Callithrix jacchus: one gene and its partners. The protein of the gene in region 1 purifies or fractionates together with the protein of each later gene. This does not show direct contact. Links are inferred from orthologs where the notes say so. Each region holds a gene or a part of one and is shown on either strand. Other genes may lie near its edges.

The links.
Region 2: the proteins of DGCR8 (region 1) and USP36 purify together in Homo sapiens (affinity purification with western blotting; 3 studies listed by BioGRID, with this or other methods). This does not show direct contact. The link is inferred for Callithrix jacchus from reciprocal best matches to the Homo sapiens genes DGCR8 and USP36.
Region 3: the proteins of DGCR8 (region 1) and SRPK2 purify together in Homo sapiens (affinity purification with mass spectrometry; 3 studies listed by BioGRID and IntAct, with this or other methods). This does not show direct contact. The link is inferred for Callithrix jacchus from reciprocal best matches to the Homo sapiens genes DGCR8 and SRPK2.

The regions. Positions count from the first base shown.
Region 1 is NC_133502.1:211,864,556-211,868,200, reverse strand, and holds part of DGCR8 (microprocessor complex subunit DGCR8), read right to left. Parts: intron 3,637-3,645; coding exon 3,494-3,636; intron 3,330-3,493; coding exon 3,047-3,329; intron 1,720-3,046; coding exon 1,522-1,719; intron 1,286-1,521; coding exon 1,184-1,285; intron 52-1,183; coding exon 1-51.
Region 2 is NC_133506.1:134,566,796-134,570,440, reverse strand, and holds part of USP36 (ubiquitin carboxyl-terminal hydrolase 36), read left to right. Parts: intron 1-2,685; coding exon 2,686-3,369; intron 3,370-3,645. UniProt on the Homo sapiens protein: Deubiquitinase essential for the regulation of nucleolar structure and function. Required for cell and organism viability.
Region 3 is NC_133512.1:75,770,670-75,774,964, forward strand, and holds the start of SRPK2 (SRSF protein kinase 2), read right to left. Parts: upstream 2,929-4,295; coding exon 2,631-2,928; intron 2,487-2,630; exon of another isoform or gene 2,369-2,486; coding exon of another isoform or gene 2,353-2,368; intron 2,264-2,352; coding exon 2,209-2,263; intron 1,693-2,208; exon of another isoform or gene 1,554-1,692; intron 1-1,553. UniProt on the Homo sapiens protein: Serine/arginine-rich protein-specific kinase which specifically phosphorylates its substrates at serine residues located in regions rich in arginine/serine dipeptides, known as RS domains and is involved in the phosphorylation of SR splicing factors and the regulation of splicing.

The DNA of each region.
Region 1 (3,645 bases):
AAGTCACACCATCAATGGTCACCGAAGCACCAAAAGGCTCACTTGGGTTCTCTTAAAATTAAAATTACTTGTTTTAAAACATATTAGTCAAGACATTAAAAGTGTGTGCATGATCTGCCCACGCCAACAGACAAGGTACAGTCAGGGACTGTCCCTGCAGAGAGTGAGCCTATGCTTGACTGTAGAGACCTGGGGCTCCCTGGGACTGGAGAAGGGTAGCAGACAGGCAGCAGCAAAGGGCACAGCTGGGAAAGTGGAGGGAAATGAGCACCTGGGAGATGGTCAGCCAGAAGGGCAGCAGGAGGCTAGGGGCAGAGCCGCCCGGGACAGTAACTGAAGTCTATGAAACATGGACACAGGGGTTGGGCGTGGTGGCTCACGCCTATAATACAAGCACTTTGGGAGCTTGAGGCAGGCAGATCACAAGGTCAAGAGATCGAGACCATCATGGACAACATGGTGAAACCCTGTCTCTATTAAAAATACAAAAATTAGCTGGGCATGGTGGCGCGCACCTGTAGTCCCAGCTACTCGGGAGGCTGAGGCAAGAGAAATCACTTGAACCCGGGAGGCAGAGGTTGCAGTGAGCCAAGATTGCGCCACTGCTCTCCAGCCTGGCAATAAGGCGAAACTCCATCTCAAAAAAAAAAAAAAAGATGGACACCAGACTGTCGGAGTGGGAAAGCACAAGATGTGGCCTGCCAAAAAAAACACCACCCAAAGAATGAGTGATCCCCAGGATCCAGCTTCCAAGGGGAAGAAGACTGGTCTTCACAAAGGTGTGGTAAGGGTGCCCAAGGAAGACAGAGCTGGTGGGAAATGCATGTCCAACAACCCTTCAGACACCTGTGGGCACCAGGCAATCAGGGAAAGGACACAGTGCACGGCGGGGAGGCCTTGCTCACAATAAGCCTGTCCATTTCCAAGCCTCAAGCAAGGCAGATGTGGCAGGATGCGGAAGGTGGGGAGAGGGGACAGACTGGAAGGGGAAAGTAGAGCCACCCACACAGGTGGGACAACGCTGAAGGAGATAAGCCACCCATCTGCAGCGCACTGCTCTTTACCCTTCCCTTCCCTCCCAACCCAGGAGAGTAGGGTTCGCGGTCAGCACCTGCCTCCCTAGTCCTGACTGAAGTGATGCCTTGTGATTCTTTAGGACTGAAATGGAGAAGGTCAAACTTACCACATTCAAAGAAATTATAGACAGGGCGGACCTTGAGGACACGCTGCATGTACTCGTGCAGGATGCAGACCTCAGATTTTCCGTTGGGGTTAATTACAAACTCTGTGACAAAAAGGACCATCTCAGCAAGTGTGAAGAAGTGCCACAAGCCAGCACACAGCTTCCTGTTACCATGTCAATAATTAGGGGCTTACCACCGTGAATGTGGCAGAGCCCTGTATTCATGGGATAAACATAAGCTCCGAATGAAATGCAACTCATAAAACATGCCCTCAACACATCACATTAGAAATAACAGCATAACCAATCTGCTGATGTTAAAATACAGAGGCTTATACCTTTCTTGGTGGGTGCATCTTGCACTGATAAAGTAATGAGCTTCTGATTGGCTGGCAAGATGGGCCTCTCGGACTCTGCCTGCTTCCGCTTCATTTCTCGATTAAATTGCCGCCGCTCAGCCCAAGTCCTGAATTTTTTCACAGTAACTTGCTCAAAGTCAAAACGCTTCTCCAGGTAGCTTCGAAATTCCTCAAGATCTGTCCCAGATTTACCAGAGAACCAAATTACTTAACGTCCAACATAGAAGTCAGGCTCTCAAAGCCCAGTGCCTGGGGCCCCAGGCCACACAACACTATTTCCCTTCCTTGTCCCTTTCAAAGGGGAGGGAAGCAAAGAACGAAGGCCTCCCTACACCAGCTTAGATGATTCTGGCAGGTCCCTTCTAGATGAATTTCTGAGATGTTCTTTTACTTTATTTGGGGCAAGAACAAGAATATAAAAATGAAAAGTAAAAAAGAAAGCTTAGAAAAGTCAGATGGCTGGCCGGGTGTGGTGGCTCACGCCTGTAATCCCAGCACTTTGGGGGGCCAAGGTGGGTGGATCACCTGAGGTCAGGAGTTCGAGACCAGCCTTACCAACATGGAGAAACCCCATCTTTAAAAAAAAAAAAATAATTAAAAATTAAAATAAATTTTAAAAAGTCAGATGGCCTTCAGGACTTCCTCCGTGTATCAAAACAGGTACCGGAATGCCAAGTGCCCGCTACCTCGCTGACAACCTCACTTTTTTCCCTCCAGCCGTCCTGGCCACCTCTATACTCAGCAACACAACCCAAGCAGCTCCCTGCACAGGGCCTCACATTTGTCACATTTCTTCCCAGGCCACTTCCCCATCCTCAGCAACAGCCCCCACCACATAGCTCTTCTAGGGCACCCCACATTCCACAGAGTTGTGAAGACAGGCTGGGTAGTGAGATGCAGACAACCAGAAACCCAGAAAATGGAAAGTGCTCTTTGAAAATAATCCAGCAGGCAGGCTCAGAGACCTGCCACCACTGAAGAGAGAACTTAGACTTGGATGGTGGGACTAGGCTAAAAGACATGAGAGAGAGAATGCAAAACACCACACACATTCAGCAAGCAACTGCAGGACTGAAGAGGGAACGGTCCATAGAATGGTTACAGTTTCCCAACACTGAGTCGCGGACTAAAGAGGCTCACTAAGCTCATCAAGATAAATCAAAACAATGCCACATGAGCACATCCTACTGAAAAAGCAAGACTTCGGGAAAGATCATATAAGCAACCAGTAAGAACAAGGCCCACTGACAGTGCCAGCAGCCATCTCCCTAGCAGCCTCAGCCATGTGGGCCCCACAGAGCCCAGGCACAGGAGCCTGGCGTGCTATACCCAGGCAGGTTCATGTAAGGGCAGGAAGACAGGCCTTCAACCACATAAAGAGTGGAGGTGTGCAGCCCCTTGCTCACAAGTATGACTAGGAACTGGCAACAATGATGGCCTTCATTAGAAAAATAAGGCTTATGGGTCCCAGAAGGCAAGAAGAGGACTCCGTAACAAAACTCACCAACAGATTCGTCTTTGCACACCTCGACTTTGGCCTTCACCTGCCCCAGGGCCCCAGGGGCTGCCTCAGCCCCTAGTGAATCTTTCTCATCTGGAGGCCCCGGGTCAGCACCCATAGAATCAGGCTCATCCAGGGGGAACTCCAGCTCTGCAGATCGGCTCAGGGGCTTGACAGGGGACACGTCCCCACTGGGGGTGAGGTCACTGCTTTGCTCTCGTTCCTCATTGTCCTTCATTTTCTTATAATGCAGACAAGGGATGCTACTCAGAGGAGGGTCGTGTTTCTGTGGATAGTGAAATTGCAACATGGATTACAAGGACAACCCGAGAGTCTAAAACTCTGATGCCTCTCACTGGCCTCTGCTTGGCTGCAGTGCCGTGTGTGTGGATGTGCACGTTTTGGTCTGAGAACTTACAAGCCTAAAGTCACAACTGATGCCTCCCCTACCCGTATGCTTCCCGTTCCCAAGAAGTATGGCCTGGACCAGGTGACCACCCGAGACTCTCTGTGTAGGTACACCGGGACTCCAGAGTTATGGAATGTCATGATCCACCCGTCTGGCAGCGGCTCTGTAGGTGGGCGACCACGACCTGCACAGG
Region 2 (3,645 bases), on another chromosome or scaffold:
ACTTGAGCCAGAGATTAAGGCTGCAGTGAGTCACACCACTCTACACCAGCCTGGGCAACAGAAAGAGACCCTGTCTCAAAACAGATTTAAAAAGCAGCCTGTACAACACAGATCACCATCTCCACAGAGAATATTCAGTGAGCTGATGTGGGAGGATCACGTGAGCCTGGGAGTTTGAGGCTCTCGGCAGTGAGCCATGATCACGCTGGTGAACTCCAGGCAAGGTGACAGAGTGAGACCTTGTCTCAAAAAAAAAAAGAAAAGGGAGGCCAGGCACTGTGGCTCACACCTGGAATCCCAGCACTTTGGGAGGCCAAGGCGGATGGATCATTTGCGGTCAGGAGTTCAAGACCAGCTTGGCCAACATGGTGAGACCCTATCTCTACTAAAAATGCAAAAATTAGCTAGGCGTGGTGGCGCACACCTGTAATCCGAGCTACTCAAGAGGCTGGGGTAGGAGAATCACTTGAACCTGAGAGGTGGAGGTTACAGTGAGCTGACATCATGCCACTGCACTCCAGTCTGGGTGACAGAGCGGGACTCCATCTCAAAAAAAAAAAAAAGAAGCAGTCTGGGCAACATAGAAAGACCCCCATCTCCAAGAAAAGTACAAAAATTAGCCAGGTGTGTTGGTGCATATCTGTGGTCCCAGCTGCTTGGGAGGTTGAGGCAGGAGGATTGCTTAAGCACAGGAGGTCAAGGCTGTAGTGAGCCATCGTTGTGCCACTGCACTTCAGCCTGGACAACAGAATGACACCCTGTCTCAAAAAAAGTACAAAGGAAACCTCATGTGTCACAGTAACTCCACAGGCAGAGTGATGCCCGAGGCGGAAGGTCTGCTTCAGGAGAGTCCCTGTGTCAGGCACATCTGCAGTGCTACTCCCTGACCATTAGCATTTTCATGACAAATGTCATTTTCCAAATACACTGCAATTGAACAAGAGTCGTTTTACTCTAAATGACATGGTGCAAGTCCTGATGTGTACAGAAATGTCCAGCTAGTGAAAAGGCTTTGCAGTGCCATGGAAAGATGAATTCCTTTTAGAAGACATTAATAAAGAATATAATGAGCAAAACAAAACTCAGGAGAAAATAGAAGTATGTTCTTATTAAACCTCTGGGAGAGGGAAGAAGACTTTATATGCTTAAAACTGAAGGAGAAAATATAGAAAAATTACAAATTGATTAAGATTGACATTTTTGTACATAAATTATTACAAATACAAATGAAACAATAACACCTTTTAAATATTTTGGACAAAAGGTTAGCATTTGTAAACACAAGAACGCATTTAAATGACGATCACCCTAGTGCATGTGCAGAGAATACGAATGTTAAAGTGGTCATGGCCAAAGCAGTGTCAGATCAGCAAATGTTTTGCAAAATGTATGTTGCTGGAGTATAGTCAATGCAGTTTGGCAGTACACATCAGGTTTCATGAAAATATTCATAGCCTCGTAATTCCATTTCTGGAAAATTAGCATGGCGTACTAAGCACAGGAAAAGCTCAAAAAAATATTTTTTAAGCACTGACTGCATACCAGACCGTTGAGTTGCTGGTGAGGGCTGCAGCAGGAACAGAAGAGGCACAGGTACAGCCTCATGGTAAAGCAGGGGAGGCGGGCCTTCAGCATCTGCACGGAGAATAACAAGTTACTTCCATGCAGTTGTAATATGTGCTCTGAAGGATAACAGATAGACACACATACACTGTACTGTATTGTTAATTTCAACAGTTGGAGACTATAGCTTATATAAATTAACCATACAGTGAGATGGTTGCCAGTAAAACATGAAAGACGGGCCTGCAGTCAGGTTGCATTGCTCAGGGCTGTAATCCCAGTACTTTTGAGAGGCCAGGATGGAAGGACTGCTTGAGCTCAGGAGTTCGAGGGTGCCAGCCAGGGCAACATAGGAAGACCCCCATCTCTACAAAATAAATAAAAAGTATTCCGGTGTGGTGGCCTACTCCCGATAGTCACAACTACTTGGGCAGCTGACGTGGGAGGATCTCTGGAGTCCAGAAGGTTGAGGCTGCAGCCTGGGCGACAGAGCAAGACCCTGTCTTAAACACATTTATTGAGAGTTATAGTCTATAAAAATGCTTGCGATAATAGCATTAAGATAAAACTGGGATGTAACTCTGCAGGCCAGAGCCATTCGGAAGAAAAGACCAGAAGAAAGCACTAGTGCGTGGATGCATGGTTGTGTTTAAGTGGTAGAACTTTGCTAAATTGTTTTCCCTTATACTTAGTTCTCTTTCTCAAATCTTGGAAAATGTACTGCTTTCATAGTAAAGATGGCCATGAAGATATATATTCAGGTCAGGTGTGGTGGTTCACACCTGTAATCCCAGCACTTCTAGAGGCTGAGGCAGATGGATTGCTTGAGGTCAGGAATTCGAGATGAGCCTGGTCAACGTGGCAAAACCCCATCTCTGCCAAAAATACAAAAATTTGCCTGGTGTGGTGGCACACGCCTGTAGTCCCAGTTCTTTGGGGTGTCACGAAACACCAGAATTGTTCAGAGAAGCCAAAGTGTCTTTACCAAGTGTCCACATAAATAGTTTATCTTGAACTTGCCAGTCAGAGGTCATGCCTGCTACTGAGATACGCTGTGGCCTTGTGAAAGCGTGGCCCAGCTGGGACTTCCTCAGTTGTGTTTTCTGCTTTGCTCTCCTTCAGCGACAAGACTCCGGGACGATGAAGAAGCTGCACACCACTGACGAGATTGGGGTGCCTGTTTCCAGGAGTGGCCCCATGGTGGGCCTGAAGTCCCAGAACGGCTATGTTCTTCCAAAGCTGTCCTCAGGGTCCCCTTCCCCTAAACTCTCCCAGACACCCACACACATGCCGACCCTCCTAGATGACCCTGGGAAGAAGGTGAAGAAGCCAGCTCCTCCACAGCCCTCTTCCCCGTCCCCCAGAACTGCTCAGGGGCCACCTGCTACCAGCAACTCGAGTAGCAGCAGATCTGGGATCCAAAGTCAGGGCTCCTGGGACAGCAGGGATGGTGTCCTCTCTACCTCACCTAAGCTCCGGGCTGCAGCCACTGCCAACGGGCATGGGTTGAAGGGGAACGACGAGAGCGCTGGCCTCGAGAGGAGGGGCTCCAGCAGCTCCAGCCCAGAGCACTCTGTCAGCAGTGACTCCTCCAAGGTCCCGCAGGCCTCCAGGAGTGGAGCTGCCCGTCTCTGCGATTCTCAGGAAAGAAATTGTTGCACTGCTGGTCACTCCAAAATGCCGCCCAATGGAGTGGACCCGAAGACGGTAAAACTGAAGTCTCCTGTCCTGAGCAGTGCTGCTGCCGAGCCACCGAGCACCATGTCTCCTCCGCCAGCCAAAAAACTGGCCCTTTCTGCCAAGAAGGTGGGTGTGCGGGGGTCTCACCACTGCTGTGTATCCAGAGAGCTAGAAGAATTGGTTGGTTGGTTGTGGATTGGAGGGAGCGGGAATGTTGTCTGGGGGCTTTGGCCTCTGTCATGTCAGAGGAACAAGGTGTCTTAGTCATTCCCAGCCGTTTGCAGTTACAGAAGGGCTGTCGGAGTGCAGGCAGTGGGGTGTTGAAGGGGGCCCTGATCTGGTGACGCTCATGTGGCCCATGGAGGTTTGGGCAAGGTAGCAGTCCCTGTTTTCGCTGTAGGT
Region 3 (4,295 bases), on another chromosome or scaffold:
AATACAGTGAAATCCCATCTCTACTAAAAAGTACAAAAAAAAAAAAAAATTAGCTGTGTGTGGTAGCGGGCGCCCATAATCCCAGCTACTCGGGAGGCTGAGGCAGGAGAACTGCTTGAAACCTGGATGCAGAAGTCGCAATGAGCCGAGATCGGGCCATTGCACTCCAGCCTGGGCAACAAGAGTGAAACTCTGTTTCAAAATAAATAAATAAAATGAAAAATAACGTCTTGTGAAAAATAGTATTGCCTCAATCAGTTATATAATTGGGCTGGTCCCGTTACCTAGCAGCCTCAAATTCTATCACATGTACACAACACACAGTGGGAGAAAGCAGCACATTAATCTATGAGAGTAAAAGCTGAGTACTGTGGCTGGCTATTCACCAAGTCTTCATAAACATACCACATACCAAACTGTGGCCCACCAGAAAGGCCCTTGGCCATTAGGAAAATCATAACCTAATATATGCAAATAAAAAACACATACTGACTTAATTAGAACTGTTCTACATGTATGCATAGGTAACATGCACACATACATGGTCTGTTTGTACATACATGCACATACAGCCATCTCTGACACTGGGGTCATACCATTTCCACTTCTTTTTATGTTTCTGAATATAACACACTACGTGGAATTAAATCAATTCTTTGAATTGAAAGCTGTGATTAAAACCCAGTACTCATTCAGAATCCTAAACATAACAGTTCTCCTTACCACTGGGTAAACGTCCATGGTTCACCAAAGGAAATCTCAAATTTAAGGTTCTAATTCACTTGAAAACTAGCATTAATTTTTTTAAAAGCATCTAAAACTACCAAAAATCCATTCCGTTTTAATATCTTACAAATTCAACATCCAATTTTTACTCACCAATTTAGTTCTTCATGTCCTTAGTCCTTTCCCCTTACTCTTTTTTTAAGACAGGTATTTTTATTTCACTCTCCACATTCTGTGAAGCCCTAAAAATACTTTCAAATATGTTCCTTTTAAATGAACAAAGTCCTGTCGTCCTATAACTTAATAATGACTTAGCCGGTTTTCCTAGAAGCCAACCATGGCTATGAAATTCTCCAGGGAGGGACCAAGGCCAACAAGAAGGGGAAAAAAGCCTGAGAGTGCTGCGAGGTACCCCTCAAAGGAAACAAACAACCAAAAATGTTTCCGTATTTTATTAAAGATGATGCTGGACTCTCGTTCCCCACAGTACCAAAGATGCCACATAGAGTATTCTTGCTCAGAAGAGCGAAGCAATTAATCTAGAGGACGAAGTAACGATGTTGAACGCTGGTAAATCAAAAAAATTAGGAGAGAGGAGTGGAAAAGACGACGCGGCGGCGCTGTGCGGTCTCGGAGCAGCTCTCCAGGAAAGGCTTCTCGCTTGGGCAGCTGCCGCCAGGCTCGGGTGCGCGGCCAGGCTGGAGGTGGCCCGCGCGGGCGCGTTTTCCACCCTGCCGGGCTCCCGCCCCATGCCCCAGCCCCCGCCCCCGCCCCGCGCACACGCCCACCGCCCTGCGCAGCCCGCGACCCAGGCTCCCGCCACGCACCCAAGTCACGATCGACCCGAGCGGAAAGTTTCGAATCCAAACCCGAGAGCCGAATCGCACAGGTCTCGGGGCTGAACTCGCGCCAGGAACACGCCCGCGGCGAACCACTTGACAACCAGCTCTGGTTCTCAGCAGAAAGGCCGACAGGCGGGGTCCGGGGAGGAAGGGGAGGCGAGACACACGCCCTCGCGCACACTCGGCCCCTCCGCCTCCTCCGCCCGCGTCTCAGGTGGGAGCCGCGCAGCCGCCGCACGCCAGCACCCGGCGCGCCGGAGCCGGGCGGCGGGCGGCGGACCTCGGGGCCCCTCCCGGGAAGGGCCGCGACCCCCAGGCCCGCTCGGCGCTCAGGGGAGGGGTGCGCACGCCCCGCCCGGCGCCTCCCCGCCGGTCTCCCGCCCGTCAGCGGCGACCCGGGGCGGGAAGCCGCGGGGTCAAGGCTCCGGGATGCTCGGGCTCCGGCCGCAGCCCGCGCGCCCCTCCCCCGCCGCCGCCCCTCCCCCCGGGCCGCCCGCGGGGCGCAGGAGCCGAGCGCCGGCGTCCCAGGGGACCAGCCCGCCAGCCGGCCCGGGAACCCGGGCAACTTTCCCCTGCGCGGCCGCGGGCGCCCCCAACGGGGCGGGCGTGGGGACCGGGGACAGGCGCAGCGTGGACTCACTTTTTCGGATGTTTCTCTCTTTTCGGCCTCCGCTTTCGGGCCTGAATGGCCAGCACTGGGGGAAGAGAAGACACACATTAACGGTCGGGCCGCCCACCCGGCCTGGCCGCGTGGCGAGGAGTGGGCGCGCCGCTGGCCACTCACCTTTCCGGGAGCTCATTCCGACGCGGCGGAAGCGGGGCGGGGGGCTTCGCGGCGGCGGCGGCGGCGACGCGGGCGCCGAGACGAGCCGGGCTCCAGCCTCCACTCGCTCCGCCGGCCGGGAGGAGGCGGGAACCGCGCCTGCGCCGCCGCCGCCGCCGCTCCCGCGGGGGCCCAGCAAGACCCGCCCCCGGCCGGCCCCGCCCCCTCCCCGCCCCCACCCGCAGGCCGCGGGGGTCGGGACCCCCGCGCCGCTAGCCCCGCGCCCCCGCCCCACCCACCTGTGCAGGAGTGGCCGCGGCCCATGGCCGCGCTGGCGCTCGGCCTCCCCGGCCCCAGCCCGCAGCCCGGGCCTCCGCTTCCTGCGCCCCTGCGGCTGGCCCAGGCCGCCCGCCTCTCCCGGGCACCCTGCCCGCGGGACCCTCCCTCCCCGCAGCGGCCTCTCTCCGCACCCCGGCCGGTCGCGCCGCCCGCCTCTCCATGCGCCCTTCCTTGGCCGGCGCCTCCGCGAGTCTCGCACCACCTCTCTTCCCGCGGCCTCTTCTCTCCTTTTGCTCCTCTACATCCTTGCATCCCCATGAGCGCCGCTTCCTCCTTTCTGGCGGGCGTGGTAAGGGCACCCGACCAAAAGCTGGGAAACCTGAGTCCGCGATTCGCAGTGTGACCTTGGAGAAGTCGTTTTCTCTCTCACCTCTACCTGCCCTTCAGGATTGTACGAGTGTAATGAAGGAAAAGATACGGAGAGCATTCAAAGTAGGATAAAAGTCTTGCACATAAATTGAAGCCCGGTTCCGTAAACACCATGTGTATAACAATTCAAAACAACAATCACACCAAGTAGTTATTTTCTGCATCCTGCAATAAGGAAACTGAGTCACAACGAGGCTAAACAGTTTAACCAGCCAGGATCGAAATTCAGCCCTGGCTGGCCCCAAACTCCACCTTACCAGGCTGCCTACAAAAGATCTGAATCAAGTTTATAGTGGCACAAAAAGATAACTGCAATGTTCTCTTCTTTATGTAAATAATTACAATAGTTTTTGGAAGATACACATCCTGACCATTAACTTCTTTAGTTACACAACTGTATCTTTAACTGACAAGGTGGCTTACTGTAAGGATGTTAAACCAGACAGAATGGAAAAGGCCGCTTGGATTTTGAAGAGCCCTTAACTTTTTATTTTCAAAAATATCAAACCCTATAGAAAAGTTACAAGGAAAATATAATCAACAGTCAAATTAACCCATATTCACCAATTTTTATTTTTATTTTTGAGATGGAGTCTCACTCTGTCGCCCAGCTGGAATGCAGTGGCACAAACTTGGCTCAGTGTAACCTGCCTCTCTCCTGGGTTCAAGCGATTCTCCTACCTGAGCCTCTTGAGTAGCTGGGACTACAGGCGCACCCCAACATTGCCCGGCTAATTTTTTGTATTTTTAGTAGATATGGGGTTTCACAGTGTTAGCCAGGATGGTCTCCATCTCCTGACCTCGTGATCTACCCTCTTCTGCCTCCCAGAGTGCTGGGATTACAGACGTGAGCCACCACACCGGCCACCAATTTTTAACATTCTGCCACATATGCTATCTGTCTGTGTGTATGGTTTATTTTTGCTGAATCATTTGAGTTTTTGCAGTTACCCTTTATCCCTAAATATCAATACATATCTACTAAGAACAAAGGTAATCTCCTACATAATCAGAATTCCATGATCACTCCAAGAAACTTCCATACTAATTCAATGTAATCATCTGTAACACACAGGCCATATTCGATTTTGCAAAATATCCCAGTAATATCACTTGTAGCTGATTTTCTTTTTTTCCTAATTCAGGCTACCATTAAGAATCATCCACTGAATTTGTCATGTCTTTTTAAATCCTTTAGTCTAGAATCATTCTTGGTTTTGTTTTTTGGTTTTCTTTCTATTTATTTATTTACTTTG